Sus scrofa: one gene and its partner. The protein of the gene in region 2 interacts with the protein of the main gene of each other region in a pairwise test. Links are inferred from orthologs where the notes say so. Each region holds a gene or a part of one and is shown on either strand. Other genes may lie near its edges.

Region 1 (3,521 bases), on a different chromosome or scaffold from region 2:
ACATCATGTGTTGGGACCTGGGTTGTTTCCCTTCCTTCTGCTAACGTCTTCATGGAGTGGGTTTGTTATCTGTTCTACTGATGAGAGTTGGAGGTTCAGAGGGTGCAGGGATTGGCCTATAGCCAGGAGTGGTGCTGGAGTTTGAGTCCAGTTGGTCTGGCCCCGTGCTCTCAACCCCACTCTCAGAGAGCCTAGCAGGGCGGCCTGAGCCTGCGAAGCCGGCAGGCCAGGGAGAAGGGCTGGGACTTGCTTCCTGCGCAGAAATGCACTTACCTGATTGGAGGTCCAGCCAGGATCAGTTTCTGCAGGTCTGCGCCCCCTACGCCTGGTCTCCCAGGCCTGCCCCGGGCTCTTCTCTCTCTGCACTTTGGCCTCCAGCCCCTGAATGGGGCAACCCAAGAAGCCCTCAGGGGACACAATCTGTTTCCAGAACACCCCAGCCCCCTCCTGTCCTTCTCCCATGTGCCCACTGCACAGACAAGGGATGAGGCTGGCACTTGGAAAATAAACGTTTGCTGGTGATTTATTGCCCGGTCTGGGGAGAGCTCCCAGGCTGCACATGGGCAAGAGGACAGAGCATGAGTGTCCCAGGGGTCTCAGGAGGCTGCTGAGTACAGATCTAGTTGAGGTTGGGGCCCGTGTGGGCCTGGCGAGAGGTGAGGTGGCTGGTCAGGTAGCGCACGGCCAAGCGGATGCCCTCCATGGTCCTGCGCTCCGCCAGTTCCAGCATGTGGGTGATGGAGCGCAGGGCCGAGCTGGTCCCCACCACCAGCCCGGAGGAGAAGGCGGGGCTGGGGCTCCCCAGGATGCTGGAGGCGGGGTGCAGGCGGGGCCCCGTGCTGCGCAGCAGGTCTGTCACGGAGCCGTGGCCAGAGGCCAGGATGCCCCTGGTCATGCCCATGGTGGTCTCAGACCACACCAGGATGTCTGCCAGGGAGCTGATGGGCCCCTCGCCCCCGCCCAGCAAGCTGGTCACGGAGCGCATGTAGCTGTTGTCCTCTCTGGCCATGAAGTCCAGGCGCCTCCTCCCCAGGGCCACCTGTCGGCAGCCAGGCAAGGCGGGGGCCGATGGTGCGGTGTCTGTGTCAGGGTCCAAGGCCTCTGGACCCTCAGGTTTCTCCTCAACAGCTTCAGTGGAGCCAGTGGCCAGAGTATCAAGCTGGCCATTGGCGTCTGCAGCGCTCACGACAGGCGGCGCCTCCGCATTTTGGGAGGGCTGCACCTGAACACTTGGGAGAGATGAGGCTGGTTCCGGCTCCATGTCTGAGATGCCCGCTGTTTGCGGTGTCTCCTCCTCCTCCTCAGTCGGGGAGGTGTGTTGGAGACTCTTAGGACTCTGGGTCATCCTTGCATCTTGCAGCGGCCCGTCCTGCAGCAGGTTCTGGAGGCCCCTGGATGTTTGCAGCACATCTGGGGCCAAGTAAGCAAGCAGGACCTCCGTGGGCTCCTGGGCAGATCCTGCGGCAGCTTCATGCTTGTCCTTGTCCCCAGACTCTGACACGGCCTCCAAGGTGGCTGGCTGGACAGAGGCCTGGTCTACATCCCGCTGGTCAGCTGACACTGGGACATCTGCAAGGAGGGGGACCTGACTTCGGGACCCCACTGCTGGGATGTCTGCTGCCCTGCTCTCACCATGTGTGGGGATGCTGGCGGCTCTGGCCTCTCCCAAAGGCACAGAGGTCATCTAGGCCCTCTGTCACTTGTGCCAATTGAAGGAGTGGCCACGGCCCTGCTGGGCGGAGTCGTCCAGGTGGTGAGGTCACAGGGGGCTGTTGAAGCTGATGATGTCACAGGCACCTGCAGAGCAAGGGTCCTGAGCCTCCGGAGCAGCTGCCCTTGTGGGCTGAGTCTATGGGACTTTTCGTAGCCAAGTTTGCAGGTGTTTAAGGAGAGAAAGGCAGACGTCTGGGGAAAGCATGGAGGGTGTGTGTACCCAGGGGCAGGTGACGGTAAGGAAACATCATGGCTGTGAGCTGATGAAAGAAGACGGATGCAGGTGTTCATTATAACACACTCACAATACCTCTCTGTCCACACTGGTGACTGAGTTGGCCCGTCTTTCTGCAGAGAGTCAGTTTCACAGCAATGGTGAGTCAGAACACGTGAAGGATGAGGGCCTGGGCTGCTCCTAACCCTGACTGTCTTTGGTCATGAGGAGCTAGAGACGGAAGGTTCGTGTCTCACCCCCAAATTTATATGTGGAGGAGTTCCCATGGTGGCTCTCTAGCAAGGAAACTGATGGGTATCCATGAGGACCAGGGTTCGATCCCACTTAGCTCAGTGGGCTAAGGATACGGCGTTGCCACAGACACGGCTCGGAACTGGTGTGGCTGTGGCTGTTGTGTGCCAGCCGTGGCAGCCGCAGCTCCAATTCAACCCCTAGCCTGGGAACTTCCATATGCCACTGGTGTGGCCCCAAAAAAAGACCAAAAAAAAAAATGTTGAAAGCTAATTCCCAATGTAATAGTGTTTGGAGCTGGGGATTTGGGGACTTGATTAGGTCATGAGGGTGGAGCCCTCAGGAATGGGATTTGTGCGCTTCTAGAAGGGACCACACTGAGGTTTCTGGCCACCTCCTCCATGAGAAATGCAATGAGGGAGTTCCCGTCAAGGCTCAGTGGTTAACGAATCTGACCAGCATCCATGAGGATGCAAGTTTGATCCCTGGCCTTGTGCAATGGGTTAAGGATCCAGCATAGCCGTGAGCTGTAGGTCGCGGATGCGGCTCAGATCTGGTGTTCCTGCGGCTACAGCTCTGATTCGACCCCAAGCCTGGGAACTTCCATATGCCGCAGGTATATGCCCTAAAAAGACACACACACGAAAGAAAGAAAGAAAGAAAGAAAGAAAGAAAGAAAGAAAGAAAAAGGAAGGAAGGAAGGAAGGAAGGAAGGAAAAGGAAAGAAGAAAGAGAGAAATGCAGTGAGAAGATTGTTGTCTGTGAACCAGGAGGCAGGGGCCTCACCAGACACCCGAATGAACTAGGACAGGCGGTAACCCTATGACACCAGGCTAAACAATCTCCATCTTCTCCCTGCTCCACTAGGCTGGGAGCGTAGAGAATCACCAAAGATCTGGAAACCCCTGAGTGTTCTTTGAAGAAGTATAGACCCAGGCAGCCCTCCTTGTGCTTGTGGCTCTTCAGTAAGAAGGTGGTTGGCGTGGAGGTGCCAGTGTGTTGCGTCTGAGCTGCCCCTCAGTCACCAGCTAACATTAGTGACTGCTGCTCACGGGCAGGAGAAGGAGCTAAACATCGAATCCTTCCAACTACCCTGTTGTCTCTAGGCAGGTGAGGATTCATCATTATGCTCATTTTATACATGGGGGAGCTGAGCCCCGGAAGGAATAAATCGCTTAGCATCAGTCTTTGTGGGGTACTTACACCGCGGGCGGTGGCTACAAACCAGGGTAAAGCAGTGGCTGAGCTGTGCCCACTGAATCTGATTACACACTCTTTCCCCCACGGGGAGGCTGGGCGTCCTCCCCTCTCTAGCCTTAGATTCCCTTTGGAGGAAGGTCAC
Region 2 (2,892 bases):
ATCCACTGAGCAATGGCAGGGACCGAACCCGCAACCTCATGGTTCGTAGTCGGATTCGTTAACCACTGCGCCATGACGGGAACTCCCACTTTTTTCGTTTACTTTTAATATTAGTTAAAAAGCTGACCCAAGGGAAGGCATGTCTGTTGCTCCAGATTATCCTGTGCACCTTCTCACAGACACAACCACCTGGCACCCAGACCTCAGGCCTGGGACTGCAGATTCTCCCGATGCTGAGGGCTTCCTCGGAGCTGTGCTCCAGCCAGGGTGGGGGGTGCAGAGGGCATGCGCAGGCACAGAGGCAGCTGGGCACCCCCCTCCAGCAGACACACAGAAGTGGCCCCAGGGAGCAGGTGAAGGTTCCGAAGTAAGAACTGATTCCAAATGCACATGTGGGTGTGGACAGCAGAGACCCACCTTTCCAAGCAGGCCAGAAGCCTCCGCAAATAGTCTCCCAGCCACAGCCCTGCCCTTGCCACTTTCCTGGCCTGAGCTGGAGCAGGGGGAGGCCCTCCTAGTTCCCAAACAAAACACACGTACTTAAGGGCTAAAATAGAATTATACAAACTTATTTTTATTAGCATCTAGCAAGAAAAAAAAAAAATCAAGATTCCCTCCCTGCTGCAGCCCGACTTCCACCACTGAGCCCTTGGGAGCAGCCCTGCCCAGGCAGCAGCTGCTACCAGAGGTGTCCTTGGAGCCTGGGCACCTGCGCACGGCCACCCCTGTGCCTGCGAGCTGACCACAGGCCCCTTCCTCCACGATGCGGGGCCAAAAGGGCATCTGGTGTTTCTCCAGCCCTCAGCTGTCAGCTTTGGGAACTTGGAAGAGATCGGCGAGGTCCAGCAGAGCCTGGCGGATGTGGTTCCCGAAGCGCTGGGCGTTCTGCGCAAGTCAAGAGCTCAGAGCAACTCCAGGCGAGCCTTGCCCCTCTGTCCCCACAAGCAAGCGCTCTTCCCCAGCCAGACAGGACCCTGGGGGAGCAGGGGAGACTCACCGTCTCTGAGCTTGAGAACTTGCTGGAGACGTGGAAGAAGATGGTGTTCTCGCCCGCGATCATGTAGGAGACCCCGTAGCCGTCATCGGCCACCTGGGGGCAGCACGAGCGGTGAAGAAAAGAGGTAAACCAGCCCTTGCGGATCTGACGGCCAAGCTGCTGTCATCCCTGCTCCGCCCGCAGGATTCACAGGAAGGGGCCTCCCCCAGGAAACGGTGCCGAAATGGAACAGCTCCGCCCCAGGCTGCAGACCAACCCCCCGCCCCCGGAGCCACGACCTCGAGTTCCCTCGGGGTGTGCAGGATCACTGCCTCTCTCCAGGGTCTCTGGCTCCCTGACAAACCAGCCCACTTGAGAGGGAGCACAAGGTCCTAGGCAAGGCCGCTCCAGCAGAGGTGGGGTTCCAGCTGCCTTTCATGCTGGGGTCAACAGGACCGTGTGTTTCCATGCAGGGCAGGTCCAGTTGTGCTCCTGCCTCTGGTCTAAGCTTGAGGCCCTGCGCTCTCTACTGAACCCTCCGGCCCCTGGCCCTGCCCGCTTGTCTGCTGTCCAGGGCACTTACAGGGCCAAAGCCGCCGCCGGCACCCAGGTGATTGGGGTACTTGTTTGGGTCAAACATGCGGATCTGGAATTGGGCAATCTGGCTGGTGGAGAGGCGCCAGGGTTCTGAGAGCACCTGCAACAGGGAGGCCCCAGCAGTCAGATGCCATGCGCTCTGCCCACACCTGCGGACAGGTGAGGCCCGAGCACCTGTGTGAGCCAGGCACCGTCCTGGCTGCGGATATGGAAGGGATGGAATGCAGGACCTCCCCGACTGCTGCCCCTGGTCCCCAAGGTCTGTTCTCACTGTCTCTGCGGCATCGGCACAAAGCCCTCAATCACGTGGCCTGCCAGCCCCCTCCCTTCCTGCTGTTCCTCAAACACCCACACCCCTGCTTCAGTGTCAGTGTCCAGGTCCTGGAGGTGCCGAACACGGATTCCCTTTAGCCTCTGCACCTCTCTCACGAGCACTGTCGCCACCTGACACGTCTGTCTGTCCAGCTGCTCTCACGAGGACACCAAGTCCATGGGGGGAGGCTCCTGCTTCATGCCAGGTCCGCAGGCCTGGGTGGGGTGTGCAGCGGGAAGGCTGGGCCCAGCCGTCCAGGGCAAGTGCGGGAACAGGCGGAGACCCGCGGGGAGCCGGCGTGAGGACACGCCCATCGACACTGACCTCAGCCAGGAAAGGGGAGCTGACCCCCAGGTACTTGGAGACCACGTAAAGGCAGAAGAGGTGCCTGTCGATCCCAGCCCCGGTCATGGCCAGGCGGTACATATTCTGGTGCTTCTGGGCAGCTTTCCGGAACAGATCTTGCAGGTCTGCTTTCTGGGGGCAGAAATGGAGCAGTGAAGAGCAGCCCTGACCCCCACGCCAGCAAAAGGCCGAGGGGTGCCCTCACCACAAGGCCGGGGGGCGCTCACCACGCGGCGCCCCTCCACCATGGCCTGAACGAAGGCTGTGGACTCGCGGGTGCAGGACCGCACGGTCTCTGTCCGTCCCTCCCGGAACATTCGAGTCATCGAGGCTTCATAGGTCAGGCAGAACTTGCCCCTGTCCTGGGGAACACAGAGGGGTGAATCTCCCAGGCGGCTCTGGGGCCACCCCACTGCTCAGCGGCCGGCTCCTACCCGGAAGTAGGCCAGCTGCAGGGCGATCTGCACGAAGGCGTCGGGGCTGGTGCGGCACTTCTTGATGAGGCCTTTGCCAAAGGGCAAGAACTGGAAGCAGTACAGCTCCACGTCGTCCGCCAGCGCCTTGGCCACCTGGTAGGAACTCTCAATGACCGCCTGGCACTGCCGAGACATGGAGAGGTCAGCTGGGGGCACAGCTCTCCAGCAAGAGCCCAGGGTCACAT

Evidence for each region.
Region 1: the proteins of CPT1B (region 2) and TEX44 interact in binary tests that used the Homo sapiens proteins (3 or more experiments, as listed by UniProt). The two-hybrid records come from large-scale screens. The link is inferred for Sus scrofa from reciprocal best matches to the Homo sapiens genes CPT1B and TEX44.

What each region holds. Positions count from the first base shown.
Region 1 is NC_010457.5:132,264,599-132,268,119, reverse strand, and holds TEX44 (testis-expressed protein 44), read right to left. Parts: upstream 1,972-3,521; 5' UTR 1,685-1,971; coding exon 620-1,684; 3' UTR 508-619; downstream 1-507.
Region 2 is NC_010447.5:161,198-164,089, reverse strand, and holds the end of CPT1B (carnitine O-palmitoyltransferase 1, muscle isoform), read right to left. Parts: intron 2,831-2,892; coding exon 2,666-2,830; intron 2,594-2,665; coding exon 2,459-2,593; intron 2,364-2,458; coding exon 2,211-2,363; intron 1,674-2,210; coding exon 1,560-1,673; intron 1,091-1,559; coding exon 998-1,090; intron 886-997; coding exon 802-885; 3' UTR 554-801; downstream 1-553. UniProt on the Homo sapiens protein: Catalyzes the transfer of the acyl group of long-chain fatty acid-CoA conjugates onto carnitine, an essential step for the mitochondrial uptake of long-chain fatty acids and their subsequent beta-oxidation in the mitochondrion.